Linked DNA regions of Struthio camelus. The protein of the gene in region 2 purifies or fractionates together with the protein of the main gene of each other region. This does not show direct contact. Links are inferred from orthologs where the notes say so. Each region holds a gene or a part of one and is shown on either strand. Other genes may lie near its edges.

What was found.
Region 1: the proteins of leukocyte immunoglobulin-like receptor subfamily A member 3 (region 2) and PTPN6 purify together in Homo sapiens (affinity purification with western blotting; 3 studies listed by BioGRID and IntAct, with this or other methods). This does not show direct contact. The link is inferred for Struthio camelus from reciprocal best matches to the Homo sapiens genes LILRB2 and PTPN6.

What each region holds. Positions count from the first base shown.
Region 1 is NC_090942.1:90,534,526-90,542,372, forward strand, and holds the start of PTPN6 (tyrosine-protein phosphatase non-receptor type 6), read right to left. Parts: upstream 3,160-7,847; 5' UTR 3,020-3,159; intron 2,815-3,019; exon of another isoform or gene 2,812-2,814; 5' UTR 2,724-2,811; coding exon 2,710-2,723; intron 1-2,709. Other genes in the region: C1H12orf57 (protein C10), read right to left, coding at 4,333-4,481, 4,621-4,815, 4,897-4,951; ATN1 (atrophin-1), read right to left, coding at 7,104-7,137, 7,742-7,847. UniProt on the Homo sapiens protein: Tyrosine phosphatase enzyme that plays important roles in controlling immune signaling pathways and fundamental physiological processes such as hematopoiesis.
Region 2 is NC_090975.1:213,584-221,043, forward strand, and holds the start of leukocyte immunoglobulin-like receptor subfamily A member 3, read left to right. Parts: upstream 1-4,214; 5' UTR 4,215-4,688; exon of another isoform or gene 4,689-4,839; intron 4,840-5,282; exon of another isoform or gene 5,283-5,419; 5' UTR 5,420-5,501; intron 5,502-5,914; 5' UTR 5,915-6,095; coding exon 6,096-6,316; intron 6,317-6,478; coding exon 6,479-6,514; intron 6,515-6,928; coding exon of another isoform or gene 6,929-6,959; coding exon 6,960-7,207; intron 7,208-7,460. Other genes in the region: histone H2A type 2-C, read right to left, coding at 1,990-2,379. UniProt on the Homo sapiens protein: Receptor for class I MHC antigens. Recognizes a broad spectrum of HLA-A, HLA-B, HLA-C, HLA-G and HLA-F alleles. Involved in the down-regulation of the immune response and the development of tolerance.

The DNA.
Region 1 (7,847 bases), on a different chromosome or scaffold from region 2:
GACACCAAGACAGATAATAAAAAACTACCGGTGAAGAGTTCCAACTGATAAGCTGGGCAAATATCACAGTGGGTTAAATTTAGAGAAGCAATTGCTTGGTATCTTTGAAGCTGTTCTCTGTAAAAGTTGGCGCATACAACAACAAACTAATTGAGCCACTGAAATACTTTCTTCATGTAATTAACAGGTCAAGAGATTTCAGCATCAAAGAGATTATTCTTATGGTGTAGTCTGGCCTTCAGTACAACACAAACTGTAGAACCTTATCTTCTAAATCCTTTGTGGAGCTAGGCCACAACGGGCACAGGAATCAATTTAGAAAGGAGGATAAATGAAGGAGCCAATTAAAAGATGCTCACATATGGACTACTGGGGAGAAAAAAAAGAAAAAGGACATTGACAAACTGCAGAAAGTCCAGTGATGAGACACATGAAGATAGGCAGAGGGAGCTGGTTTTGTTCAGCCTGGAGAAGGCTGAGGAGGGATTGAGGAGGGATTTAATAGTCTGACACTACCTAAAGGGGCAGGGAAGGAGAGGTTAGCAATGATGGAGCCAGATCCTTCTCAGAGGGACACAGCAAAAGGACAAGAGGCAACAGGCATAACTTGCATCAAGAGAAATTCTGAATAGATATAGGAACAATTCCACACACACACTCCTGCCCAAGAGTGGTTCAGCAACGGCACAGGTGCCCAGAGAGGCTGGGCAATCTCCAGTCTTGGAGATGTTCAGGGCTCACTTGGACAATGCCCTCACTAACTTGTAGAGTCAATCTTTGAATCCACAAGATATTTAGCATCCTTTGACAAGCAGTTCCACTGCTGAACTACAGAACCACCACCTCCTTTGGTTTGCTTATGACCTGTTCCCTGCCCATTTTTATTAACAACCGACTGTTGTAATGAAAGAAAAAATCAATGACTGATTCCTCTGGTTCCTACTCACTCCCTCCAAGCCACTCATGAATTTAGAGACCTGTAACTTCTGATTCCTTCCTTAGCTCTTTTCCAGGCTGAAGACTCCAACCCTATTTAGATGTTCTGTGTACAGAGCTATTCTACATCTCTAATCATCTTTACTGTCCTTCTCTGAGCCTTTTCCAACTCTGCTATATCATTTTGGAGATGAGGATGAAGTGGGACCCCAGAACTGCACATAGCATTCAAGATGTTGGTGAGACATGGACATATACAAAGACATAACTATGATTTCTGCTTATTTGTTCACTGCACCTGAGCATTGAGCTAACATTTGCATGCACTTATGTATTATGAGATCACAGTCTTACTCCAGAGAGGTTATGATCATTTCAGAGTTCTTTTTTTATAGGTGAAGTTTGAATTATTTTCCTCCATGAACATTGCTTTACATATACCCATTTTGAATTTCATCTGCTGTTCTATTACCCACCCATTCTCTATCATAAGTTCGTTCTGCAGTTTTTCACAGTTGACTCCCACTCTATTATCCTAAATATCTTTCTGCCATCAGCCAATTTTCTCATCTCACTGTTTACCCTCTTTTTCCAGGTCATTTAGGAATATACTGAACAGCACATATCCCAGCTCAGACCCTAGTGATCTGACCACTGGTGACTACCCTTTGCTGTGAAAACTGGATATTTATGCCCATCTTCCATTTCTTATTTTCTACTAATTCTTTACTCAAGAAAAAAATCTTCCTCTCTCTTATGCCATGGCTTTAGTTCTCTTTAAAAAGTCTTTAGTTCTCTTTAAAAGTCTTTGATGAGGGGAAACTTGTCAAATCCAAGCAAACTGTATCAGCCAGATCTCCCTTATCCACAAGCTTGCTAAGTCCCTCAGAGAACTCCAGTGTTTTTTCAAGACGAGATTTGCCTTTACCAAAGTAGATAGGGACTCTTTCTTTAATGTCATATTCATTCCTTTTTCTATTATAGTGTCTAATCTCTTGCTCATTCTAGATATCAATTTTATTGGTCTGTGGTTCTCATTTGAACCCTTTTTAAAAATCAGCACTGCATTTGCCACCCGGTAACTCTCAGCACCAAGGTAAAGCATAGGCAGGAAGTTGCAGTTTTACACAGAGCTACATAGTAGTTCAGCTGCAGCATTCTTGCACTGTTAGAGCTGCCAGATAAAGGCCATCTGCTCTGGGGGAATGGGCAGATGGACCATCTTCCTGGGACTTGCCCAAGCCAGATGCTCTCTGGCAGGCTACAGGACCACAGGACAGTGCTGGACCACAGTGGCTGCCCAAGCAGAACCTAACCATAGATTAACCCTGGTGCTAATCCCATTTCTTTATACCATGTTGCTGACGTCCCAACAACAGAGCACCCATTTGGATTGACGGTGAAGAGCATGTGTCTTGTCAATTAGACTCTAAAGACAGTAACAAATCAATAAATAATCAGGCTTTAAAAAGGTCTGCCACCTGATCTCTCTCTGTACAAAAATGTTTTGAAATGCTGCAGCTGCAGGGCCTGCAGAAGGCAGAAAAGTAGTTGTATTGGACTGGTCATCACAAACTCTTCTCTCTCTTTATACAAGTGAGGAGGAGCAGCAGCGACAGCAGTCTAACTCACTGTGAACCTAGTCCTCCAGCTCTCCAGTAGTTCCTAGTATAAGGTGTTCTTTTTCCCCTCTACACCTGATTCTTACTTCCATTATTTTTTTCTCACCAACAACACTGTTTTCTACCCCTAGCTAGCATACACAACACTCACCCACAGGATGGCATTGGGATCTTGACCGGCAGATCCCCACAGATAGGGGACTAACAGCAAGCAGCAGGTGGAGGGAGTACCACAGCCCTTAACCAGGGGGTCCTACTAAAAAAAAAAAAAAAAAAGTATTGGAAGTATCAACACAGTAGTATCTGAAATGGACTTGGGAGAGAGATCAAACAACTTGACAGAGCAAGTCAAGACCTAGACCACCCTAGAGACATGGCTGGATGCTCACCATGGTTCGTTCCACAGCTCCGGAAGGAGCAGCCGATAGTGCTTTGGGTCTGCTGCAAGCCCTATGACTCACCTGTATCTGATCCGCACGGGAAGAGTTCTGAACTCGGCCTGTTTCTGGTGTGGACAGAGGAGAAGGTAGCTCCAGGTCAGGCAAACAGCAGGCCTCAAGCAAAGGGTTTGATTTTCACCATTCACAAAACACTTCCTGGGCTGTAGTTAATAAATAATTAGAAGGGGGGGGGGGGGGAGGCCAAGCCCAAGCTGGGAGAGGTGGATGGAGACGGAAGGGACTGACTGTTCTTCCTGCCTCCTATCCACTAAGTTCACGCCCTTGCTGGCTACATTCCTCAGCCCTTTGTAGCTGAAAGACGCAGAAAACAAAACTACACACAGCTCTCCAGCACCTGACCCTCAGCTCCCTCTTCTCCCAGCCCTTCCACCCCAACCCACCCTGACCCTTCCCAAATGTGTCAACACATCTAAGGGCAAGAGACCCATACAAGCTGCAAGGCCACCAACAGTCAAATGTACCTGATGCCCCTTCACTTGAATCAAGTCACAAATACAAAGATTCAAACTTGAGAGGAACTGCTCCCCTGGGTTGGTTTCTCTCTCTGGTCTTGGCAGGCACATGATGCAGTTCTAGATTATGTTTATGTTGCTCTAACCCTGGCTGCAGCCAAAAGGGGCAAGGCTAGCTCTCCTTCGCCATGCTCGTCCCTGCTTCACCTTTCTGCAGCCTTTTACATTAGGTCTAATATGTCTGATCACACATTCAGCTAGAAGACAACTGTGCAGCTATATAAGCTGGTGTTAGCAGTGTACAGGGAGGAACAAACTAGCATGGCTGACTGGCCTGGTGACAGGGGTCTGAGCTGCATTTAGGCCACTTGCTGAAGAACACCTTAGGGACTAGCTTATGTTTATGAACCCACTACCTAAAACATGTCAAATATCTCATTTGTAAACGCTTGTTCTTAGATAAGGCTTAGCACCTCTGAAATCTTGTTTAAAAAAAAAAAAGTATTGCTTTAATACTAGGTGGTGTGGTTTCAGGCCAAGGCTTGCATGAGCAAGCATCTTTTTTCCGAGTTTGATACATACGAGCCCTCCCCCTCTCAAATCATTAGCACAGGCTTTACCAGTCATGAGGTGGACACTGCTCTAACCGCCTCTGCAGCAGAGAAAAGGACCCGCCCCGGCAGAGCAGTGCTAGGCCCAGGTCCGTTCAGAAATCACGAGGTTTGTTTTCCAGATAGCTTTTATTCACCAGCAGACATACAAAGGCGCACAAAGCAGCCTGGTTCCTCCCAGAGCAGCGTCTCCGCTGTCCAGCCGTGCCCTGCCAGCGCCGAGGGCCGGGACGGCACAGGGCCTCCGCTCTCACGAGGTCGCCACTCCCCCGGGGCCAGCCCCGTGCGGGGGCAGCGTCATGGGCGGCAGGAACATGGCTTTGAGCTTCCCCGACATGCTGGCTATCTCCGGGTCCTGAGATTCGTAGGATTTGATCAGCCGGGCAAACTTCAGCACGCCTGCAAAGGAAACGGGCAGGCGGGGAGAGCGGCTGAGCCGCGGGCTGCGGCAGCGGCGCCCCGCCGCGGCGGTCGGGGGAGCCGCGGCGCGGACACGAGAGCCGCGCCGCCCCGCCCCGCCCCGCCGGCGGGCACCCACCTTCCCCGTCGTTGCTGAAGCCGTAGGCTTTGATCACGTCCTGCTGGATCTGGGTGGCCACGGGCAGCAGGAACTGCAGCATCTTGCCCATATCGTTGCAGGCGTTGTCCCGCGCCTCGTCCATGCGCTGCGCGTTCTCCGGCGAGCCGAAGGCCTTGATCACCTCCGCCAGCACCACTGCGGGCACACGCACCGCTGCCAGCCCGCCGCCGCCGCCGCCGCCTCCCGCCCGCCCGGCGGGCCCCGCTCCCGGCCACGCCGCCCCCCGCCACTCACCTTTGGCCTGCTCGGCGCTCAGCGCCGCGGCCGGGGCCTGCGCCGACGCCGCCATGGGGCGCCGCGGGCCGCGCACTCACGGCTGCGCGCCCCCCCGCACGGCCACGCTACGGAGCCAACCCACCCCCGCAGCCACCAGGCGGGCGCTCCCCGCGCACGCGCGGCAGCCGCTCTGCCCTTACACGAGACAGCGAGGCTTCCCGCGCCGCGGAAAACCTACTGGACAAATACTAAAAGAGCTGAAATCACTACAGCGCCTGCCCCCGCGCGGGGGCCCACGCGAGCTGCACTGTCTTTGGGGTGAGGGCGAGCCACATCTTTCGCTCAGCCTCCGTCTTTAGCGCCTCTGCGCCCTTCCGAACAGGTCTGTCTCCCTGACCCACGCTGCCGATGACTATAATAGCCAAAAAGAGAGGTTTGGGACGTATTTGGGGTAGTATGTAAATAAGCTGTTTCCTATTGGTGCCGAGGCGCGCTCGCCCCGCCCCTCGGCGGTGGGGCGGGGCCTCCGTGACCACCGCCGGGCCGGGGGTGTTGCGCTGCGGCCGGGCCGGGGCCGCTCTGCGCTGGTTGGCCGAGCCGGGCCGGGCCGGGCCGGGCCGGGCCGATCCCCCAGCTCCGCCGCCGAGGAGGGCTTCCCTCGTGCGGCGCCCGCACGGGCCCTGCTTTGGCATTTCCTGTAGCGACACTTGGCCTCTCTCGTCCCGGCCGTGCCCCCGGCTCTCGCCACCCTCCGGGCCCTGCAGCGACTTGCATCGCAGCCACTCCTCGGCCTGTTTCGGTATCCCCCATCTTTACTCCTCTGCCCAGGGAGAACTTCATTTCTGAACTCCCCTGCAGGTGTGCTGTTTCACTGCACTTCCAGATCGCTTCCTAGCCCCAGTAGAAAAGAAACGAACACAACAGACTGTTTCTGGAAGGGTTTTTTTTTTTGTTTTGTTTTTCTTTTTTAAGAGCTTCATATATATATTTATATATATAAATTATTAGAATGTGTGTTGAGGCTTGGGAGTGCGTGGGAAACTTTGTTCGGGTGTTTTTCCATAGTTGGGTTGTTGGTTGTTTTTTCTTTTTTTTTTCCTTTTTTTAATGTTTAAGTAAATATATATATGGGGACCAATCGAGATATACAACTGTGAAATCAGACACGCACGCGGGATAAGGGAGTCACAAATTGCTACATAAAACTGCCACGTCTAATAGGATGTGCATGAGTTAAAAGTACATCAATTAGAATGGGTGAGGGGAAAGGGGCAGCCACCTTCGCGAAGAGAGTACCAGGATGCAGGGGCTCTTGGCCATGTCAGCTCTCCCAATGGGGCGATGCAGGGGCTCTTGGCCATGTCAGCTCTCCCAATGGGGCTCAAAGGGATAGAGGCGATTGCAGTCTTTAATTGCAGTCTTTAAAACAGTCTCCCGGTGCTTTGCACCTCATGGCCCTAACCATTCCCTCGAGGCGTAGGAAAGCACAGCCACTGGGTCTCGCAAACAGTCTCAGGTCTCGCAAAGTCTCGTGGTGCTTTGCACCTCACAGCTAGACCCAGACCCTCAGTGACTGAGCGGTTAGGTAGGAGTGGCCATTTCTGAAGGGGTCCCATAATGCTTGCTTTGTATCTGACAGGATTTTGGAGAATGGGAAGCCACCCTGGCTAATTTGAAAAAGTTCCATGTTGCTTTTTTGTGTTACTTAGCTGTATCTTACATCTAAAGTTGGGGGGGGGGGGGGTGAGGAGGCATCTTTAAAAGAAGCTCCATCAGGTTTTTGAGTTACTTCTTGGCCACATCTCCTCACAGAAGCAGAAAGGGCAACAGCATCATGTACATGAACTCCTGTGATGCTCTGCACTGTTTTTATTTAATGCAACTGTTCCCCCAAAAGAAAGGATGGAGCAGCTCCAATCTTGAATTTCCATCAGTCTTTGTCTTTTTGAGCTCTCTGCATTGCTAATTTTGTTTCCTTCAGAGCCTTGCTGGAATCATGTACCAATCATTCCATGTCCATTAGTGGTGTTTCAGTCCCTCCCCATTTTCTCTCCTCTCCTTTCTGCTCCCACGATGCCATCCTGTACTCTTGATCCATTCTGCTCTTGCACTGTACTGCACTGTAGGATCAGGATGTGTAGGTTCCCCTCCCCCAGGATTTGGTTGATCAACTGCTCCTCTTAAGAGAAAGACATGATGATGTCGCGTTGAGAGTAGGAGTCCATTTAAAGGGGTTTGTCACTTTCTTTCTTCAGGTGACTAGGAGAAAGAAGAACAAGGTGATTGTGAGAGAAAAAAGAGAGAAGGAGAACTACCTTAGTACTGTGCACTGCATTTGGTTAGTCTAGTCCCACATGACAGTGCTGGCTTGGAAAGTTTTCCAAATCCTTGAGGTAGGAGATGCTATCCAAAAGGTACAATATTGCACCTCTCCCTGTCCCAGTACGCTTCCCTGTGCACTTGCAAGAACCCTTTTTAGGACAGACCATCCATCCAACTCTTGTGAACATCTGTTGTTTTTGCAAGGGTATCAGTTAGCAAGAACTGTATTAGCATGTGCGAAACAGGTAAGTTTACTCCCCAACGAAAGGAACTGAGACCCCATACAAGAGATTAGCCTACAGGCCACTGAAGAGCCACTTGCCAAGAATGACCTTCGTCATGGCCAACCCACAGCTGTGCCCCAGTGGCAAGGAATCCATGCTCTCAGATGTGGGGGTCAGGCTGGAGCCAACCACTTAAGGAGAAATGCTTCCCTGATCCCACTTCTGCCATCCTCAGGCCATGACCAGGTCCAGATTTGTACTGTGAAGTGAAAGCATTCTGCTCGCCCAGTGTCATGGAGAGAGCAGGTCCCATGCACCTGTAGTAATCCTCCTGCGTAGGGAGCGGCACTCCATGCAGAGGGTGGTGGGCATGAAGCCACTGCTGCTGTTCCAGAGCCAAGCGCTGCAGTTCAGCTGACTGTG
Region 2 (7,460 bases):
CCTCCTCCTCACTGCGCTCTGTTCCCCGGCGGCGGCGGCAGCACCGGCAGCACCGGCACCGGCAGCGGCAGCACCGGCAGCGGCAGCGGCGGATGCCCGAGCCGGCCAGGCCCGCGCCCGCGCCGGGCCCCAGAAAGCGGTGACCAAGACGCAGAAGAAAGGCGACGAGAAGCGGCGGCGCGGCCGCGAGGAGAGCTGCTCCACCCACGCGTACGAGGTGCTGCAGCAGGCGCGCCCCGACGCGGGCATCTCCCCCGAGGCCGCGGGCATCGCCAACCCCTTCGCCAACGCCGCCTTCGAGCGCGTCGCCGGCGAGGCCTCGCGCCTGGCGCGCTACAACGGCGCTCCGCCGTCACCTCGCGGGGGATCCAGACGGCCGCCCGCGCGCCCGCTGCTGCCCGGCGAGCGGGCCAAGCACGCCGCCTGCGAGGGCAGCGAGGCCGGCGCCGAGTACACCCGCTCCAAGTAAAGCGGCTCCCTGGAACGCAGGGTCTGCTCCCCTCGGCCCCACGGCTCTTTTCAGAGCCACCCACCCTCTCCTAGCAGAGCTGTAAACCTTAAGAGCCCGTTTTCCACTTTATCTTATAAGATGGGACTTCCTTGCTAGGGATGTTCTTGTAGAAGTAGCTGGGATTGCTCTCTAACCTGTAAATGCTGCTTCATGCTGCATGTAAGCAGCATCTTGCACTTATAACTCGTCTTAAATTATTCCTTACCTACTACAGCAACACAAGAAAGTAGTTTTATTAGTGCTAAGGGAGTAGAAGCTTCTTTTAGGTGTCACGTTTTGTGCATCTTGCACGTTGTGCTTGTTCGTGTCTGCACTTAGTGCCCTGCTCGAACCGCTCTTGGGAGCTGCCTGCGGGAAGATGCATTTAGCAAACAGAAATAACTTCCTTTTCTGCAGGATGTGCGTTTCCAGGCAATGCTCTCCCTGCCTTTTAAGGGTGCTTAATAACCTGCTTTTTGGGGATGATGATGCTGTTCCTGGCCAGGGTGCTTGTCCTGATCGTCCCACTACAGGTTTCGGCGTTGCCTTGTGCGAGGGGGGGCTCCCGGAGAGGAAGGAGCAAGAGGTGGGCAATTCCTTTTGGAAGAAATGGGATTTCTGTGCTCATTGGAGGAATATTCAACTATTTTTAAAGGTTTTGCTTGGCAGAGAGCAGCCTGCCAGCGCCTGACGTGCTGACTTGTTGCCTTCAGGGTATTTCCTTGGTGCAGCTTGGCAGGATTTGGGCTCGGATTCCCTCTTCCGAGGGGATAGTTCAGGTCCCAGGGCAACGCTTTGGCCCATGTTAGCAGCTTGGGCCAGCCTGAAACTTCCTTAAATCCCGGGGGATTTATTGGTGCTTTTCCCGCAGCATGAGCGTTAACCACAACCAGCAACTGCCGAACGTCGTGGCGTTAAATGCCGCTCATGGGGAAACAGAAATGTTATTTCTGGGCTCTACTGTGGTTTTGGAGATGTTTTTTTTGGCCAGCCATCCGCTGTTTAGGGAAAAGCGGGACTGGAACTAAGGTACCAGTGTGGTTTTGGGGAACGCAAGGATCGGCGCAGTTTCCCTTTGCTGATTTGCGTGTCCTGGGACTGAGGAATGGGGAAACACTTTGCGAACGGACTCACCGGTGCCTCCTCCACCTTCAGGGACCCCCGTTTTTGGGGATCTCACCGGTGAAGGGAGGTTCTCAGCTGCGTTAGACCGAACAGTTGTGTGCAGCGCAGCAAAGCAGGAGGCACAGGGGCTGGCAAGTCTCCAGACTTCTGCATAAACCATTGCAACCATAATTTGTAAGGATTTAAGTCAAAACGCGTTTCCAGGTTGGAACGCTGCTGCGAGCCTAGCACCAAGCACCTTGCTCTGCAAGCCCCAAACCGCTTCCAGCTCTTTTTCTGAAACAGTGGGTGGCTCTTAAAAGAGCCTTTGGATTCAAAAGCAAAAAGAAAAGCTTAGGGCCCGCTGATTAAACTGGCCGGTCTTCGCAGAAATGTTACTTGCCCTTGGCTTTGTGGCTCTCGGTCTTCTTGGGCAGCAGCACAGCCTGGATGTTGGGCAGGACGCCGCCCTGCGCGATGGTGACGCCCCCGAGCAGCTTGTTGAGCTCCTCGTCGTTGCGGACGGCCAGCTGGAGGTGGCGCGGGATGATGCGCGTCTTCTTGTTGTCGCGGGCCGCGTTGCCCGCCAGCTCCAGGATCTCGGCCGTCAGGTACTCCATGACGGCGGCCAAGTAGACGGGGGCGCCGGCGCCCACCCGCTCCGCGTAGTTGCCCTTGCGCAGCAGCCGGTGCACGCGGCCCACGGGGAACTGCAGCCCGGCCCGCGACGAGCGCGACTTGGCCTTGGCGCGCGCTTTGCCGCCCTGCTTCCCGCGGCCGGACATGATGCCGCCACTACCGCCGACCGCCGCCGCGGCTCGCCCTTTTATAGCCCGCGGGGGATTGAAACCGCGCGTTCTGATTGGCCGCCGCCCCGCTCGGCCGCCGAACCAATAGAACGGCGCCCTCAGCCCGGCTGTCTTTCCTCCTGCCCAATAGCGGCGCGCGGATTGGAGCCGTCTCGCTTGCGATGCTCGGCGCGTAGCCGAGCTGCCCGCGCCGGAGGTTATAAAGGGAGGGCGGCGCGGCGCGGCGCGGCGGTGCAGACAGCGGCGCCCGCCAGCTCCCCCCGCCGGCTTCGGGCAGGGAAATGCAGCTTATACGGCGAGCTTTCGCCGTTTGAGATTAAAAGCCTCGTGCACGAGCTCGCTGTGAGATTAAGCGCCAGCTACCGGCTTACCTTCCCGCTTGAGGAGAGTTTTAAGTGTTTAATTTATTTTTTTTTCTCTTTTTCTTTTTTTTTCTTTTCTTTTTTTCTCTTTTCTTTTTTTCTCTTTTCTTTTTTTCTCTTTTCTTTTTTTTCTCTTTTCTTTTTTTTCTCTTTTCTTTTTTTTCTCTTTTCTTTTTTTTCTCTTTTCTTTTTTTTCTCTTTTCTTTTTTTTCTCTTTTCTTTTTTTTCTCTTTTCTTTTTTTTCTCTTTTCTTTTTTTTCTCTTTTCTTTTTTTTTTTCTCTTCTCTTTTTTTTCTCTCTTCTCTTTTCTTTTGGTTTTAAACCCTTGTGGCGCACAGCTGTACCCGCCCCGCCGCACCAAGCGGCAGCTCAGCCCCCGGCCCGCAAGGCTGCCTCGCCTCGGAACGGCGGCGCTGCACGCTGATTGGCCGCCCGCCGAGCTGGAGGCGTTCCCATTGGTCCGGAGGCGAGAGCGGCCAGGCCGCCAAGGCGGGAGCCGGGGGGGGGGGGGCGGTTCTCCCTCAGGTCCGCCCCGCTCCTATATAAGGGAGCTCCGCCCACCGCCGCCCCGCAGTTAGGGCTGGGGGAACATGTAGCGTGTGCCCGGGCTTGGGTTTTGATTTGCTTCATAACCGTTTGTTTTCCCCGGGGTTGTGCTGCAACGTGGTAAAAACACGGCGTTTTATCGCTCGAGTTTGGCTCAGAGCCTTATAGGGCACCTGCGCGCCTTCCTCCTCCTCCTCCGGTCGAGCATAACCTGCCCCAAAGCCCCGCAGCGCCGCCCCCCTTCCCCAAACTCCTCGCCTCGCTGCTAAACACCCTCCCCGTCCTCAGCAGCCCCGTAGCGGCCTTAGCTCGCGCCCATAGGGCGGCAGCGGGCGGCGGCCGGCAGGAGCCCGGATAGCTCAGTCGGCAGAGCATCAGACTTTTAATCTGAGGGTCCAGGGTTCAAGTCCCTGTTCGGGCGCTTCCGCTTTTTATTTCTTCAGCGCGGGCACTGGGTTCCTTCAGCCCTTCCCTGTCCCCGTCCGGCCCCGGCTGCTTCACCCCCGGGCTCCGCAGCCCCCGGGGAGGGTTTTTTTTCCCCCCCCAATCGGTGCCGCCGCCGAGCCGTGTGGGGCCCGGCTGGGGCTGCCAGCGCGGCCCGGTCCCATGGTGTAATGGTTAGCACTCTGGACTCTGAATCCAGCGATCCGAGTTCAAATCTCGGTGGGACCTTGCGGTTTCCTTTTATTTTTTTCCCCCTGCTTTCTCGGGGGGAAATGATTTTTTTTTTTTTTTTCTCCGCTCTTTTTGCAGCTCGTTACCGCGGGAAGTGCGAGCCGGTTCTGCCGCGGTGCTTCAGCGGTGCCCGGCTTTCCGTCGAAGCGACGTTTTTGCCTGTTTAGTTTTTCGTGTTTGAACAAAAAAACCCAACCAAACAACCAAAAACAACAACAACAAAAAAAAACAACAAAAAAAACCCTAAAAAAGAATTCGTCGGGGAGTGAAGCTGGGAGAACGACGAAACTCGCTGCTGCAACTGTCCTGGGAGCTCTGCTCCTTCCCAGCGTGGCCGCGTTGCAGCGGTTTGGGTTGGGGCCGGTTCCCGCCGCGGGACTTGGCGGATTTGCAGAGGGCAAGAAACGCTGAGAGCCGGGAGCCAGGCCCGACACCCCCTGGGTGCCACCCCGTTGGGTGATGCTCCACCACCCGCCTTGTGCATGCCACCAGGTCAGGGACCGCAAGCGCCACCCCAGGGTGACATCACATCCTGACCCGAAAGAGAAAATAACCAGGTGGAGGGACCACTTCTTCCACCCTCGCCTCTCCCGCCGGGGGCGGGGGGCACCCGGGCACAGCCGCCGCGGGGTCCAGGCTCTCCCAGTCCCTCCCAGTGCTGCTGCCCCCAACCCCGTGCCAGGGGACCAGTGGAGGTGACCAGTGAGTGGCCTCGGGGAGTGACAGGGGGGATGCTGGGGACGCCCTGCCCCAGGGGTTTGGTGGCCCACGGAGGGACAGGACCTGGTGGCAGCAGCCCTCAATGAGCCTCGAGTCCCTGGCGGGCTGGTGGCGCTGAGCGGGGTGCAGGGAGGTGAGTACGGGGCTGGGGACAGGGCTGGGGACACCGGGACGGGAGTAGGGTCACGGGGAAGGGGGGGTCGGGGAGGGTGCAGGAACACAGATGAGTCTGAGACACGGGTACAAGTATGGGGACAGGGACCGGGACAGGGACGGGGACAGCGGGAAGCGAGGACGGGGATGTGGGGACGTATGGGCGGGGGGACGACTTAGGGGGACGGAGGGACGCGAGCGTGGGGATGGGGAACGTAGGGACGTAGAAACTTGGGGACAGAGGCAGGGATGGGACAAGGGACGCAGGGACGTAAATACAAAGGTGGGGACGGGGGACGCAGAGCCAGTCGGGGGGGGGGAACGGGCTGAGGGTGCGGTGGTGCCACGAGCGCGGGGCCAGGACAAGGGGTGCAGCGATAACGCGGGGCCGAGCCCCAGCTCGCCGCCGTCTCCCCGCCCCAGACCTCCGACCCTCCCCGTCGCTGCACCCCAGCGAGGCGGTGGCCCTGGGGGGGGGACACCGTCGCCCTGCGGTACCGCGTGCCCCGGCCGCTGGGACCGGGACGAGGTGGAGGGATACGGTCGAGTTCTCGCGGAAGGCGCCGGCGCGGAGAGATGCCGGTACGAGATCTTGGAAACGTCTCGGACCTCGGAGACGAGTGATCGACCCCGTGGAGTTGGGTGAGGACCTGGCTGAGCCCGTGTGGGTTACGGGGGTGCCAGGGGTTGGGGGGGGTCCCGATGGGGCAGCGGGTGCTTGGAGCCCTCTTGGGAGCTGCAGTGGGTCCCTATGGGTCTAGGTGTTCCCCACAGAGAACGGGCTGTCCCTGGGGTCCGTGTGGGGCAGGGCTTTTTCTGGGGTGTTCTGCAGCCAGGAGGTCCCCATGGGATGGGGGTTGTCCCTACGGTGTCCCCATGGGGCTGCTGTCTGTCTGTGACACTCTTTGGAGCCTGCTGGTGACCCACTGTTGGGGACCATGTGTGGTGGCCCCCTAGTGTGACCCCATGGGGGAGCGCTTGTGATGTCCCCCCTCAACCATGACCCCCTGTTGGGACCTGCGTGGAGCGCCCTACGCGTGTGTCACCCCCGTCAGGTGCCGCGCGTGTCGCCGCAGGCGTGAAGCCGCCCTTGGGGACGGCGTGCGGCTCCCCGCGCGTGTGCCAGCCCTTCGGCGACGGCGTCTGCCGCTCCGTGTTGGACGCCCCTTGGGGGAGGTGGGCCACCACCCTCTGGCGTGCCAGCCCATCGGGGACTGCCAGTGCCTCCCTGGAGTGATGTCACGTCATCCTGGCCTCAAGGGGAACCGAAACCATCTCTGTGGCCACTTCCCTTCCTGCTCTTTCACCTCCCATCTGGCTTGGGGGGACACCCAGGCCCAACCGTGGTGGGACCCAGTCCCCCCCCCCCAGTGCCGCTACCCCCAACGCCACGTAAGGACCTGGCTCCTCCTGCCCCACGGCCCCGATGGTGGTGGTCCTCCTCCTGCTGGGCCTCGGTGAGTGATGGGGTGGGGGAATGGTGGGGACAGGGACACCCTTCCTTTTGTGGGGGTGACAAGGATGCCCTGCCCTTCGAGGGGATGGTGGGGACCACCACCAGCCCCAGGGGTTTGGTGGCCCCCGGCAGCAGCCACCAACGAGCCCCATGTCCCTTGCAGGCTGGTGGCTGGCGGCGCCAAGTGGGGTGCAGGGAGGTGAGTACCAGGCTGGGGACATCATCGGGCTGGGGACAGCAGACCAGGAGTATGGTCTTGGCGGGGGGGGGGGTGGACGGGGAGGGTGGAGGGCAGGGGGATGTGAGTACGAGTGTTGGGACAGGGGCAGAGTTGGGTGGGGGACATTGGGGCCGCCAGGACAGGGACCCGGGGATGGGGACAAGCCGGTGGGATGCAGGGACACGGCTGGGAGCGCTGGGCCGGGGGCTGCAGCGGGGACGCAGGGTCGGGGGCCGCAGGGCTGCGAGTCGCAGGGTGGGGACAGGGGACGCCGGGAGATGGCTGTGGGGACCGGGAAGGGGAAGAGGGTTAGGGGATGAAGGGGTTCAAAGACGTCCTTAAAAACACGGGGATGGGGACGGGCCCCAGCTCACCGCTGTCACCCTGCCCCAGACCTCCGACCCTCCCTGTCGCTGCACCCCAGCGAGGGGGCGGCCCTGGGGGACAACGTCACTCTGCGGTGCCACGTGCCCCAGCCGGCTGCCAGGGTCCTGATCTACAAGGAGGGAGATGGGACCTACCAATGGTACCGGGAGAAGGTGGAGGATACGGCTGAGTTCTCCATGAAGGTGTCGGCACGGGGCTATGCCGGGAGATATTGGTGCCTGTACGAGACCCTGGAACCGTCCAGGACCTTGGAGATCAGTGACCCCGTGGAGCTGGTGGAGCTGGGTGAGGGCCTGCTGGGGCACCCTGCATGCGGAGGGGGGTCCCTGGGGGGCGCCCGTGTGGGGCTGGGAGTGCTCGGGGGTTCCTCCATGGGTGTTGGGTGGTGCTGGGGTGTCCCCTGTGGTGTAGGGGGAGCCGGGGGTTAGAGGATACCCCTGGGGTGGCCGTGGGGCTGGTGGTGCTCAGGGTCGTCGCATGGGTTAGAGGGTAGCCGGGGGGTCACCATGGAGCAGAGGGTGCCTGAGGTCCCCCTGTG